2 linked regions of the Anolis sagrei genome follow. The protein of the gene in region 1 binds, or shares a complex with, the protein of each later gene. Links are inferred from orthologs where the notes say so. Each region holds a gene or a part of one and is shown on either strand. Other genes may lie near its edges.

Evidence for each region.
Region 2: the proteins of XPO1 (region 1) and PKIA are in contact, whole or in part, in an NMR structure (PDB 2L1L), measured with the Homo sapiens proteins. The link is inferred for Anolis sagrei from reciprocal best matches to the Homo sapiens genes XPO1 and PKIA. Residues at the interface, in NP_003391.1 of Homo sapiens: Val518, Lys522, Leu525, Cys528, Glu529, Lys534, Lys537, Ala538, Ala541, Ile544, Phe554, His558, Lys560, Phe561, Thr564, Lys568, Phe572, Glu575, Thr576, Val580; in NP_006814.1 of Homo sapiens: Asn36, Leu38, Ala39, Lys41, Leu42, Ala43, Gly44, Leu45, Asp46, Ile47, Asn48, Glu51.

The regions. Positions count from the first base shown.
Region 1 is NC_090021.1:12,220,017-12,227,109, forward strand, and holds the start of XPO1 (exportin-1), read left to right. Parts: upstream 1-4,073; 5' UTR 4,074-4,716; intron 4,717-6,926; exon of another isoform or gene 6,927-7,093. UniProt on the Homo sapiens protein: Mediates the nuclear export of cellular proteins (cargos) bearing a leucine-rich nuclear export signal (NES) and of RNAs.
Region 2 is NC_090024.1:40,119,796-40,127,251, forward strand, and holds the start of PKIA (cAMP-dependent protein kinase inhibitor alpha), read right to left. Parts: upstream 3,007-7,456; 5' UTR 2,892-3,006; intron 2,615-2,891; exon of another isoform or gene 2,396-2,614; intron 1,652-2,395; exon of another isoform or gene 1,509-1,651; intron 1-1,508. UniProt on the Homo sapiens protein: Extremely potent competitive inhibitor of cAMP-dependent protein kinase activity, this protein interacts with the catalytic subunit of the enzyme after the cAMP-induced dissociation of its regulatory chains.

The DNA.
Region 1 (7,093 bases):
ACTTTTAATATGAAATATAAAATTATTCTATTGTATTATTATTAGTATTATATTATATTATATTACATTATATTTTCAATATTATATGTGTTTACACTATATTATTAGCACAGAAGAATATTAGTATTAATATGATTATGCCAATGCACAAAAATTATAGATCTATTTTATAATCTATATTTATATATAATTTAATATAATAATATATATTATTAGATAATAATATTTATATTTATATATAACTTAATATAATAATATATATATTATTATATATTATATTATTATATAATAATATACGCAATAATAATAAAATAAAAATAATTTATAATTCATAAGTTCCTTCCTTTTCCTTCCTTTTTCTTTCCTTCCCCTCTTTTTTCCTGCCAATGACGTCATTGAAAGTTGCCAGCCAATCAGAGCACAGGCACGAGGACCGCCACTTCGCCCGCGAGATTATGCTATTTGAGGCAAGCGCTACAGAAGGGGCGGGACTACATGGAAGACAGACAGCGGGGGCGAGCCAATCAAGCGGGGCCCTTCCAACTCCCTCGCTTTGCCACCCCCTCCCTTGTCTTTCTCTTAGAAATAAAGGGGAGGAGCCAACAATCCCCGCGCGCTGGGTAGAGAGGGGGGAAAAAAGCAAAACGGACAGGCCGTTCAGCCAATGATAGATCTGTATTAGAAAGGGGCGGGTTTTACAATCCTGGCGCGCTCAGTGGAGAAGGGAGTGACAGCATACAGTTAATGAAGAGGCGGGAAAAAGAGTAAGACGGGCAGGTCAGCCAGCCAATGATAAACCGGTATTAAAAATGGGCGGGGTTTACAACCTCGGCGCGCTCGGCGGAGAGGAGGGTTTAATAGAGAGGCGGGAAAAGACGGGCAGGCCAGTCAGCCAATAATAGACCTGTAGAAAAAAGAGGGGCGGGGTTTACAATCTTCGCGATCAATGGAGAGGGGTGTGAAAGCAACCAAGACGGGCAGGCCGATCAACCAATAGAAAAAAAGAGGGGCGGGGTTAACAATTTGAGCGCGCTCGGTGGAGAAGGGCGTCAAAGCATACAATTAATAGGGAGGCGGGTCAAAGAGCAAGATGGACCGGCCAGCCAGCCAATGATAGACAGCTAGAAAAAAGGGGCGGGGTTTACAATCTAGGCGCGCTCGGTGGAGAAGGGCGCGAAAGCATAGAATGAATAGAGAGGCGGGTAAAAAAGGAAGACGGGCAGGGCGGCCAGCCAATGATAGACCGCTAGAAAAAAAGGGGCGTGGTTAATAATTAGCGCGCTCGTTGGAGAGGCGGGTAAAAGAGCAAGACGGGCAGGCCGGCCAGCCAATGATAGAACGCTAGAAAAAAGAGAGGCGGGGTTAACAATGTTAGGGATTAATAGAGAGGGGAGGGAATGCATCCAAGACGGACAGGCAAGCCAGCCAATGATAGACCGCTAGAGAAAGAGAGGCGGGGTTAACAATGTTAGGGATTAATACAGAGGGGAGTGAAAGCATCCCAGACAGGCAAACCCGCTAGAGAAAGAGAGGCAGGGTAAACAATGTTAGATAGTAATAGAGAGGGGAGTGAAAGATAGAACAAGCCCTATGAGGAGCGGCTTAAGGAGCTGGGCATCTTTAGCCTGAAGAAGAGAAGGCTGAGAGGAGATATGATAGCCATGTATGAATATGTGAGAGGAAGCCACAGGGAGGAAGGAGCAAGCTTGTTTTCTGCTTCCTTGGAGACTAGGACGCAATGGAACAATGCCTTCAAACTACAAGAAAGGAGATTCCATCTGAGCATGAGGAAGAACTCTCTGACTGTGAGAACTGTTCAGCAGTGGAACTCTCTGCCCCGGAGTGTGGTGGAGGCTCCTTCTTTGGAAGCTCTTAAACAGAGGCTGGATGGCCATCTGTCGGGGGTTTATTTTTTATTTCTCGTGTCAGGGCAGCCAGTCAATTATATTACATTTCTAACAGAACAAAGCAAACAAACAGAGAAAATACAAAATGTGTGAGTTTGGTAGTTGATTAAATGTCCTTTGACCAGTATCTGGCCACTTGGAGTGCCTCTGGTGTTGCTGCAAGAAGGTCCTCCATTGAGCATGTGGCTGGGCTCAGGTTGCACTGCAGCAGGTGGTCAGTGGTTTGCTCCTCTCCACACTCGCATGTCGTGGACTCCACTTTGTGGCCCCATTTCTGAAGGTTGGCTCTGCATCTCGTGGTGCCAGAGCGCAGTCTGTTCAGCACCTTCCAAGTCGCCCGGTCCTCTGTGTGCCCAGGGAGGAGTTTCTCATTTGGTATCAGCCATTGGTTGAGATTCTGGGTTTGAGCCTGCCACTTTTGGACTCTCGCTTGCTGAGGTGTTCCAGCGAGTGTCTCTGTAGATCTTAGAAAACTATGTCTGGATTTAAGCCGTTGGCGTGCTGGCTGATACCCAAACAGGGGATGAGCTGGAGATGTCTCGGGGTTAACAATGTTAGGGATTAATAGAGAGGGGAGTGACAGATCCAAGACGGGCAGGCCGGCCAGCCAATGATAGACCGCTAGAGAAAGAGAGGCGGGGTTAACAATGTTAGATATTACTAGAGAGGGGAGGGAAAGCATCCAAGACGGGCAGGCCAGCCAGCCAATGAGAGACTGCTAAAGAAAGAGAGGCGGGGTTAACAATGTTAGGGATTAATAGAGAGGGGAGTGAAAGATCTAAGACGGGCAGGCCAGCCAGCCAATGATAGAACACTAGAAAGAGAGAGGCGGGGTTAACAATGTTAGGGATTAATAGAGAGGGAAAGCATCCAAGACGAGCAGGGGCGGGGTTAACAATGTTAGGGATTAATAGAGAGGGGAGTGACAGATCCAAGACGGGCAGGCAGGCCAACCAATGATAGAACGTTAGAAAGAGAGAGGCGGGGTTTACAATGTTGGGGATTAATACAGAGGGGAGGGAAAGTATCCAAGACGGGCGTGAAAGGGATAAGACAGGCAAGCCAGCCAGCCAATGATAGAACACTAGAAAGAGAGAGGCGGGGTTAACAATGTTAAGGATGAATACAGAGGGGAGGGAAAGCATCCAAGACAGGCAAGCCAGCCAGCCAATGATAGAACACTAGGAAGAGAGAGGCGGGGTTAACAATGTTAAGGATGAATACAGAGGGGAGGGAAAGCATCAAAGACAGGCAAGCCAGCCAGCCAATGATAGAACGTTAGAAAGAGAGAGGCGGGGTTAACTATGTTAGGGATTAATACAGAGGGGAGTGAAAGATATAAGACGGGCAGACCAGCCAGCCAATGCTAGAACGTTAGAAAGAGAGAGGCGGGGTTAACTATGGTGGGGATTAATATAGAGGGGAGGGAAAGCATCAAAGACGAGCAGGGAGAGGGGAGTGACAGATCTAAGACGGGCAGGCCGGCCAGCCAATGATAGAACACTAGAAAGAGAGAGGCGGGGCTAACAATGTTGGGGAGTAATAGAGAGGGGAGTGAAAGATCCAAGACGGGCAGGCCAGCCACCCAATGCTAGAACGTTAGAAAGAGAGAGGCGGGGTTAACAATGTTAGGCATTAGTAGAGAGGGGAGGGAAACCATCCAAGACGGGCAGGCCAGCCAGCCAATGATAGAACGCTAGAAAGAGAGAGGCGGGGTTAACAATGTTAGGGATTAATATAGAGGGGAGAGGGGAGAGAGGAGGGAAAGCATCCAAGACGAGCAGGGAGAGGGGAGTGACAGATCTAAGACGGGCAGGCCTTCCAGCCAATAATAGAACGTTAGAAAGAGAGAGGCGGGGTTAACTATGTTGGGGATTAGTAGAGAGGGGAGGGAAAGATCCAAGACGGGCAGACCAGCCAGCCAATGATAGAACGTTAGAAAGAGAGAGGCGGGGTTAACAATGCTGGGGATTAATATAGAGGGGAAGGAACGCATCCAAGACGGGCAGACCAGCCAGCCAATGAGAAGACGCTATCGGAGGCGGGCGGGAGGGAGTGAGGGAAGGAAGACGGGCGTGCGGGCCGTCCAATGGCGAGCGGCGTCTGTGCCTGGCCCTCCCCTTGTCCCGTCATCGGCGCGGGCAGCCAATGGGGCGGCGGGGCGGTTTCCGGGGGGGCGGGGCCGGCCTGCCTCGCTCGCTCCGCCGAGGCGCCATGGGCTGAAAACTAAACCGAGATGGAATCTCCCAGTCTGAACCGGTTTGAGCCGGTTCCGAGTCTGTGGCAGTAGAAGAGGAGGAGGGGGAGGGCTGAGGGGAAAAGAGCGGAAGGCGAAGCACGAAGCCACGGGGGAAGAAGAAGGAGAAGGAGGAAAAGAGAAGGAGGGAGAGAGTGGATGAGAGGAGGGAGTGAGTGAGGAGAAGAAGGAGGCGTGTGTGTGTGTGAGAGAGAGAAGCAAGATTGGCAGGAGGAGGAAGAGGGAGAGGAGAAGGGGGGTTCACCACAACAACAAGGCCAGGTGTGTGTGTTGTGTGTTGTTTACCACAACAACAACAAGGCCAGGTGTGTGTTGTGTTTGTATCTATCTCCCTGTGAGGGGAACAGCAGGCGCCATGGAGGAGGACTGAGGGGAGGAAGGTGTGTATGTGTGTCTGTGTGTGAGAGAGAGGGGTGTGTTGGTGGAAAGAGTTTGTGCTGGTTGGGGGTGGGATTCCTATTTTACACTCTTGTTCTTCCTCCTCTTCTTCTCCCCTCTGAAAGGGGGAAAATACACACACACACTCACACACAAAAAGAGGAAAAAATTGAGGTGAGCAGATCTCTTTCTGGGAGTTGTGTGTTGTTTCTTTTTCTGGGGCGGGTTTTTCTCCCTCTTTTCCTCACAAACCTCAACCTCCTCCTCCTCGTTGAGGGGAGTACTGGGGTGTGTTTGCACAGGCCTCTCTGAGGAAGAGGTTGGGCTTCAGGGGTCAGCGTGGCTTCTGCTTTCTGGAGGGAAACAGATATCTATTGGAAAGAAAGAGAGAGGCAGAAAAGTCAGCTTTCTGGAGAAATATCTATCCTTCAGTGTGTTTTTGCAAAGAGCTTTTTGAAAATATAGATATCAGAGAGGCAGAAAAGTCAGCTTTCTAGAGAAATATCTATACTTCAGTGTGTTTTTGCAAAAGGTTTTCTGAAAATATAAGTATATTAGAGAGAGAAGCAGAAAAGTCAGCTTTCTGGAGAAATATATATCATTCAGTGTGTTTTTGCAAAGAGCTTTCTGAAAATATAAGCATCTATTAGAGAGAGAAGCAGAAAAGTCAGCTTTCTGGAGAAATATATATTCTTCAGTGTGTTTTTGCAAAAGACTTTCTGAAAATATGAGTATCTATTAGAGAGAAGGAGAAAAGTCAGCTTTCTGGAGAACTATCTATCCTTCAGTGTGTTTTTGCAAAGAGTTTTCTGAAAATATAAGTATCTTATTAGAGAGAGAAGGAGAAAAGTCAGCTTTCTGAAGAAATATATATCTAAATATCTATCTATAGATATCCTTCAGTGTGTTTTTGCAAAAAGCTTTCTGAAAATAGAAGTATCTATTAGAGAGAGAAGCAGAAAAGTCAGCTTTCTGAAGAAATATATATATATATATATATATATATATATATCCTTCAGTGTGTTTTTGCAAAGAGTTTTCTGAAAATATAAGTATCTGTTAGGCAGAAAAGTCAGCTTTCTGGAGAAATACATACCCTTCTGTGTGTTTTTGCAAAAGTCTTTCTGAAAATATAACTATAAGAGTAGCAGAAAAATCAGCTTTCTGAAAATATATCTATATATCCTTCAGTGTGTTTTTTGCAGAGCTTTCTAAAGATATATATATATATATATATATCATATAGATAGATCCTTCAGTGTGTATGTGTTTGCTATAGGCCCCAAGCCTTTCCCCAAGCATTTCAACCATAGAGTTGTTGGCAAGGAAGTCAGCTCTCTGAAGAAATATAGATCTATATATCCTTCAGTGTGTTTTTGCTAAAGACCCATTTTCCCCCCAAAGCTGACTTTCAACTTTCAGCATTGCTTTGAGATACTAGTAAGGTTGTTGGCAGATTTCTGAAGAATATAGCTATCTATAGATCTATCCTTCAGTGTGTTTTTGCAAAGAGTTTTCTGAAGAAATAGATATTAGAGAGGCAGGGAAGTCAGCTTTCTGAAGTAATACCTATATATCTATGTGTATGTATGTATATGTAGATTGATATCCTTCAGTGTGTATGTTTGCTAAAGGCCCCAGACCTTTCCCCAAGGTTGGCTTTCAACTTCCAGTATTTTAACCATAGAGTTGTTGGCAGGGAAGTCAGCTTCCTGAAGAAATATCTATCTATATATCCTCCAGTGTGCATTTTTGCTGTAGGCCCCAAACCTTTCCCCAAGGTTGGCTTTCAACTTCATTGCTTTGGAAAGAAAGGCTAGTAGGGTTGTTGGCAGGGAAGTCAGCTTTCTGAAGAAATATATATCTGTATAGCTCTATATATCTGTATTCTTCAGTGTGTGTGTTTGCAAAAGGCCCCAAACATTTCCCCAGGGTTGGCTTTCAACTTCCAGCATTGCTTTGGAAAGAGAGGCTAAGATATTGTGGATTGATTTTTTAAAATATAGTTATATATACACATAGATTGGGGTGTGTGAGAGAGAAGGAAAAAAGAGGTGTAGCAGGAACATCCTTTCTGCACTTTTTTTCATAAAGAGCGGGAGAGTGAAAACGGGTGGAGACTTTGCTTTTTCCTCCCTTTGAGATCTAACTCTACATAGGCCTCAAACACACCCCAATTTTTCTGCCTGTGTTTTATTTGGGGAAAATAAGGGTGTTACATCTGTTTGAATGAATGGCAAAGGCCTGGCCCAAGTTGTAGGTGTGTTTGCAACTTTGCTAGGAAAGTGACTTGACTTCCATGTGCATTTTTTCTCTCCAGTTTGTGTGAGTCGCCCTATTATTATTTTACTCCATCTTTTTTCTCTTCTTTTTTTTTTTGGTAGGTTTGGCTCGTTGTTTGTTTGAGAGAAACAGAGAAGTGTGTATGTGACAATTTAATTATTTTTTGAATGAAAAAAAGGAACCAGACTTCTGGGCCTCACGTGAAATCAGAAGGAGACACCTCTCTTTTGTGTCGGGTGTGAGGTTGTGTGTTGGGAAGCTGAGGCTT
Region 2 (7,456 bases), on another chromosome or scaffold:
ACATTTTCAAGAAATAGATATTACCACCCAAAGACTGCCCCACACCCACCCCAAAAAGCAACAACAACCCACTCTCATTAGGTCCAGAGTCTAAAACTATCCAACTGCGACACAAGTCTCAGATCCAAGTTCTGGAATGCATTCCTCAAACAGCTTCTAGCATCCATATCCACCATGAACTTCCACATGACTGGCACAGCTGCTATGACATTTTTCAACTATCATGTATTATGTAGGAAGCAAAGGCAAGTATGCTGTCCTTTTGGAGGGGGTGTAGTGAAAATACAGTGTCATTAATAGGAACTTTCAGACTGGAAACAGAAAAGGATGGAGGGAAAGTGAGGGAAGTCCACTGGTTTTCTGCTGCCCTGGAGACTAGGACACGGAACAATGGCTTCAAACTACAGGAAAGGAGATTCCACCTGAACATTAGGAAGAACTTCCTAACTGTGAAACCTGTTCAGCAGTGGCACTCTCTTCCCAGAGTGTGGTGGGGGCTCTTTCTTTGGAGGCTTTTAAGCAGAGGCTGAATGGCCATCTGTCAGGGGTTCTTTGAATGTGAATTTCCTGCTTCCTGGCAGGGGGTTGGACTGGATGGCCCACAAGGTCTCTTCCGACTCTAGGATTCTATGTAGTCAAGGGACAAAGGTAGCCAAGGCCACCCCCTCCCATGCCCCTTGACCTGCATGGCAGTGGGTTGGATTGGATAGCCTATGTGGGCGCTTCCAACTCTAGGATTCTATGACTTGTGCCTGTCATAGCTCACAGTTTGGATATTGATGTACCTAAGGCAAACCTTTCACAGGATTTTGAGGAACCTGATATAACCTTTAGCCCACGGATGGGCAAACTTGAGATCTCCAGGTATTTTGGGCTTCAACCCCCAAAATTTGTAACAGCCGGTAGTATATATGTATAGCAGGTGTGGGTAAGCTTGAGCCCTCCAGGTGTTTTGGACATCATCTCCCACAATTCCTAACAGCTGGTAGTATAGATATATAGCAGGTGTGGGCAAGCTTGAGCCCTCCCAGGTGTTTAGGACATCAACTCCCACAATTCCTAACAACCAGTAGTATATGTATAGCTGCTGTGGGCAAGCTTGGGTCCTCCAAGTGTTTTGGACATCAACTCCCACAATTCCTAACAGCTGGTAGTATATATGTATAGCAGGTGTGGGCAAGCTTGGGCCCTCCAGGTGTTTTAGACTTCAACTCCCACAATTCCTAAAAGCCTTAGGCCCCTTCATTTCCCCCCTCTGCCACTTAAGGGGGAAGGAAGGGGCCTGAGGCTGTTAGGAATGGTGGGAGTTGAAGTCCAAAACACCTGGAGGGCCCAACCTTGCCCATGCTAGAATTAGCCCATTCCTTGGTTACTGTTGTCCCTCAGACAGGAGAACCTCTCACTGGGTTTTCTGAGGCTAAGCCTGTGCGACTTGGACAAGGTCACCCAATGGCTTCCCATACTCATCTCCAGAGTCCAAGGCTCAAGCCTGACCCTGGTTTGCCTACCTTCAAGTGAACTGAAGTGGAGCAGTCCCAGGTGCCATCTTTTAAGCACCGCCACCCTTTAGTCCTTTTGGCTGCAGCTGGCTCCTGCCTTGGATGCCATCCCACAGGAGCACCATGGAAACCCACTCAGGGCTTTGGGTTGGCTAGAAAAAGGGGAGGAAAAAGAGCCAGGGTCAGTGTGCCTTGAGGCCAGATCGGCAGCTCCCTCCCCTCTCAAGGCAGGCAAGCAAAGAAGGAGACCCGCAGCCCACTTCTTCCCTCCCTCTCTGCAGACTTTGGGCTATTTTTAGGCAGCAGAGCAAACAAGCGCTGTCCCCCAGAGCAGGAGGAGGAGGAGGAGGAGGAGGAGGAGGAGGAGGGGGGCAGACCCACGTCGGGCAGAGAAGGGGAGGAGGAGAAAGCATCCGCAGAGCCAGGGGTGCGTTGCTCCTCGGAGAGCAAGGCTTTGGCGACCTCCTGCTGTCCCTGACAAGAGCCAACGGGGAAGGGAGGCGGGAGGGAAAGGGCGACAGCTGGGCACCCCCCCCCCTTCTCCCTCTCTCCCAGCTTGGCTTCCCACCCAGAAGGGAAGCGGCCAACCGCAGCCTTCCTTTCTCCGCTCCTTCCTTCCTTCCTTTCCCTCCCTCCTCTCCCCGCCCGCGAGGGAACCATTCCGACGTGCTCGCGCCCCCGCGGGCTTGACACGTGTTGCGGGCCCGCGCTCCCACATCCAGCCTTCCCTGGCGCCCATCTGGCTCCGCTGCCATTATAATCCATCTTGGAATATGGCCAGTTTGAACCGCATTATAGGAGCCAGCACTGAGAGTGCTTCAAACTGCACTGCATGGCAATGTAGACGGGGTCCCTGCCTTCCTTCGGCTTCGGCCGTCTTTGCAAAGCCCACTCACCTTCCTCGAGGGGAGGGTCACGGCGTTGCGTTCGTTTCCCCAAAACGAAGGGGGAAAATGGGCTTCAGAGAATGCAACCCTCCTTTTCCTCCTCCTCTTCCTCCGGCTGCGGTTTTACACTGCTCTGCTTGCCCTTTCCCCAGCATCCAGCTGCAGCCGCTGAGCCCAAACCCACCGCGCTCCACTGAAGTCATCCCGCTCCTCCTCCTCCTCCTCAGTCCTCCCCTCCCTCCTCCCACCCGTGGATCACTGCATTTGGCTCCCACGCAATGAGGAGAGGGAAAGGCTTCACGAGAGGGCAATGAAGCAAGTCTTTAATGCCCCCCTTCCTCCTCCAAGGCTGAATTCCAGGACTAGGGCTGTGCTTTTCCCGCCCTGGCTAGCCCCCCCCCCCCCCCGCCAGGTGTCACGTTACATCTTCCCGTCTCTGGGAAAGCATGAAGAAACCATACTGGGAATGCCCCCCCCCCCCCAATAAAGATGTGAGCCTCCCTACCTCCTTTTGCGCCGGCTTTGGAGCCGCGGAGGGTCTTTCCTTGGAGTGCCCTCGGCCCCCCCTGCCCGTTAAGCCCGACCTGATGGAACGTGTATTTGGAAAGGGAGGGAGGGAGGGAGGGAGGGAGGGGGGAGCCTTCAGCTTCCACTTCGATTTTTTAAAGGGGAAGCAGCCGATTGGCCGCGAGAGGCGATCAGATTGTGACGCGCAAAGAGCCTTCGCCCCTCCTATTTTTCTCCCACCCGAGAGAGCGGGGCCTGGAACCAGGGAGAGGGGAGAGGAGGGGGACACAACGCACACACACTCCAGGGAGAGGGGAGGGGGCAGCGTGGGGACTTCGTACACTGCTGGTTTCCATTCCCAGAGGGTTTAGCTATTAGAGCATGTGGGCTTGGGGAGCTAGTTAGCATCCAACACTTACAGGCAGCTCTACCGCATTCCGCTGCATTTCTAGACCAGGCTTCAATGCTATACCTCAGACATGAGCAAATTTGGGCCCTCCAGGTGTTTTGGACTACAACTCCCACCATTCCTAACAGCCTCAGGCCCCTTCCTTTCCCCCCTCAGCTGCTTAAGGAAGGGGCCTGCGTCTATTAGAATTGGTGGGAGTTGAAATACAAAACACTGGAGGGTCCAAGTTTGCCCACGCCTGCTATACATACGAGGGTTGAATTAAAAGTTATGCCTCCACCTTCGGAACTCCTCACTAGATGGCAGTACTGTGCGCAGCAGGTACTGACTTGTTCAGTAGACTCTCCTCTACAGTTCCATTTTGGTGGGAAGCCTTAGTTAAACCTTTGTGCCCGCAGGACTCCTGACCAAAAGGTCGGCGGGTTTGAATCCAGTGAGCAGGATGAGCTTCCATCTGTCAGCTCCAGCTTCCCATGTGTAGTCCAACACTTAGTTAAACCTTTGTGCCGGCAGGACTCCTGACCAAAAGGTTGGCGGGTTTGAATCCAGTGAGCAGGGTGAGCTCCCATCTGTCAGCTCCAGCTTCCTATGTGGGGTCATGAGAGAAGCCTCCTACAGGATGGTAAAACATCCGGGCGTCCCCTGGGCAACATCCTTGCAGACGGCCAATTCTCTCACACCAGAAGTGACCTGCAGTTTCTCAAGTCACTCCTGACATGGAAAAAAAAAGTTTGTCTTGAAGGCTGAAAGAATGGCATGCCCAAGGTCACCTACTGGGTTTCATGGCTGAGCAGGGATTTGAACCCTGATCTCCAAAACTGTAGTCCAACACTCAAACCATTATACCAGTCTGACGCTTCAGGCTAGAATGTTTTGCAGACCTACTGTGAAGCAATACACCGGGGGGGGGGGGGGGGGAGACTTTAATAATATTTGCCACTATTACACCTAACCAAAATCAACCAGTGGAGCTCTTTCAAGTGACCAGGAATCTATTACTGTATATGTAAGCCCACTGTGAACAACTTGCTTGACACTTTACAGACAAAATTGTTTGGGAATTATAAATGATATAAATCCAGTGGAGGTAACTCTAGCCCCTGCTTACCCAGTGACAATGGAATTCTTTTCAGTTTTTGCAACCTAAGGATATGAACAGGATTCATGGAGGAATGAGAGCCACTATAGGTGTGTTAGATATTTGTCCTTTCTGGTGGAGTGGGCACAGGGAGTTGTTGATACCTCTCTAAAACAAGGCAGAGTTGTTAATAACACCAGTATTTACAATAACACAGTTATTTCCCAGCTACAATTATTTACACATTAGATGAGTTATCTAGTTCTATTTCAATCTTATTTCAAGCCTGGGTGTGAGTCAGAGATGGCTTGGGTTGTCTTGACTGATGGCCTATGCCAGGAACTAGACAGGTGGAGTGTATCCCTGTTGGCTCTGCTGGACATTTTAGCAGCTTTCAGCAGATATATTTCAGGGATGAGACTTGGAAGTGCTGTTTTACAGCAGGTTTATTTTTCCAGTAAGGTGACAAATCCATAAAGTAGTAGTGAGACCTTTCTTTTTGACCCCTTGGTTGCTGATCTGAGGTTCCTCATGGTTTGGATCTGCCCTCCAATACTGCTTGGAGATGTCATTGGGGGTTTTGGGGCCTGGTGTCATCAGTATGCACGTGATACTTAACCATATTTCTCCTTTTCACAAAGCAGGAAGCCCTTTCAGTCCTAATATTTTGCCTGTTGTCAGTAATAGATTGGATGAGAGCAAGCAAACTTGAATTCTCATCTAGACATGGCAGAGGTGTTCCCATTCAGTAAAAGAATATGGGTTCAGCGTATTCTGGATAGGGTTACACAATATCTGTTTAAGACACAAGCCTGAAGTCTGAGTGCACTCCTGGACTCAACCCTGAATCTAGAAGCTCAGGTTTTGGCAGTAGCAAAAATTTGGCAGAAATTAAAATTTCTGTACACCTGCAACCATTCCTAGAGATGTTGGATCTGGCCACAGGTACACACTGTTGGATCTGGCCACACTTTACCCATTCCGATTACTGTAATATTTTCTATGTGTAACTGCCTTTGAGGAATATTTGAAAATGTCAGTGAGTGAAAAGTTGCAGACATATTGTTAGCCATGGAACACTTACTTACTTACTTTACTTAGGCGATCCCTCGTTGGACGAGTAAGATGGTCTTCCATTATGGATTTCCTTGTGGGTCCGTATGTGGCTGTGGAGCCCTATTCTTGCTCTGCATCTTCTTCCGCAGTGAGGGCATTGGTTTCCAGGTGGAAGGCGGTCCCGGTCGGGGTTGGCTTGACGTGCTTTCCTCCTGGCACGTTTCTCTCTTTCACCCTCCACTCGTGCCTCCTCAAATTCTGCAGCACTGCTGGTCACAGCTGTCCTCCAGCTGGAGCGCTCAAGGACCAGGGCTTCCCAGTTCTCAGTGTCTATGCCAGAGTTTTTAAGGTTGGCTTTGAGCCCATCTTTAAATCTCTTTTCCTGTCCACCAACGTTCCGTTTTCCGTTCTTAAGTTCGGAGTAGAGCAACTGCTTTGGGAGACGGTGGTCAGGCATCTGGACAACGTGGCCGGCCCAGCGGAGTTGATGTTGGAGGACCATCGCTTCAATGCTGGTGGTCTTTGCTTCTTCCAGCACACTGACGTTTGTCCGCTTGTCTTCCCAGGAGATTTGCAGGATTTTCCGGAGGCAGCGCTGATGGAAACGTTCCAGGAGCTGCATGTGACGTCTGTAGACAGTCCACGTCTCACAGGCATAGAGCAGGGTTGGGAGGACAATAGCTTTATAAACAAGCACCTTGGTATCCCTACGGATGTCCCGGTCCTCAAACACTCTCTGCTTCATTCTGGAAAATGCTGCACTTGCAGAGCTCAGGCGGTGTTGTATTTCGGCGTCGATGTTGACTTTGGTGGAGAGGTGGCTGCCAAGGTAGCGGAAATGATCAACATTTTCTAATGTTACACCATTAAGCTGTATCGCTGGCATTGGAGAGGGATTGGCTGGTGACTGCTGGAACAGCACCTTGGTTTTCTCAATGTTCAATGACAGGCCGAGCTTCTCGTATGCTTCTGCAAAGGTGTTTAGAGTGGCTTGTAGATCTTCTTCTGAATGCGCACAGACGACATTGTCATCAGCATACTGGAGTTCTATAACAGATGTTGTTGTAACCTTGGTTTTGGCTTTCAGTCTGCTGAGGTTGAATAGCTTGCCATCTGTCCGATAGATGATTTCCACTCCGGTGGGAAGCTTCCCATCAACAAGGTGAAGTATCATAGCGATGAAGATGGAGAATAGAGTTGGGGCAATAACACATCCCTGTTTGACACCGGATTCCACTTTAAATGGGTCACTTTGGGAGCCACTGCTGTCCAAGACTGTTGCCATCATGTCATCATGGAGGAGCCGCAGGATGTTCACAAATTTGCTTGGGCACCCGATTTTTTGGAGGATGGTCCAGAGAGCGCTGCGATTCACTGTGTCGAATGCCTTTGCAAGGTCGATGAATGCCATGTACAGAGGTTGGTTTTGTTCCCTGCATTTTTCTTGGAGCTGTCGTGCAGTGAAGATCATGTCCACGGTTCCTCTGGAGGGGCGGAAGCCGTTCTGGGATTCTGGGAGGGTGTCTTCTGAGAGGGGCAGAAGGCGGTTTGCAAGGATTCTTGCGAGGATTTTCCCAGCAGAGGTTAGAAGGGAGATACCTCGATAGTTTCCGCAGTCTGTTCTTTCCCCTTTTTTGAAGAGGGTGATGATGGTGGCATCCTTGAAGTCTGCTGGGATTTTCTCGGTCACCCACACTTTTTCTATGAGCTGGTTGAGTTGGTGTGTCAGCTCAGGTCCTCCCTCTTTAAAGATTTCAGCAGGGATCCCATCTGGTCCACTGGCTTTGTTATTCTTCTGTTGGCTGATAGCATTGTTGACTTCTTCCAAACTGGGCAGTGCTGCAAGCTCATCCCTGGTTTGTTGTTGTGGGATTTGTGAGAGGACCTCTTCGGCCACATTGGAGCTGCGGTTCAGGAGGCTTTGGTAGTGTTCTTTCCAACGTAGTGCAATTGAGTTTTGGTTCTTCAGGAGTTTGGTTCCATCTGATGAGCGTAGAGGCTGTATGCCATGGTTTCTTGG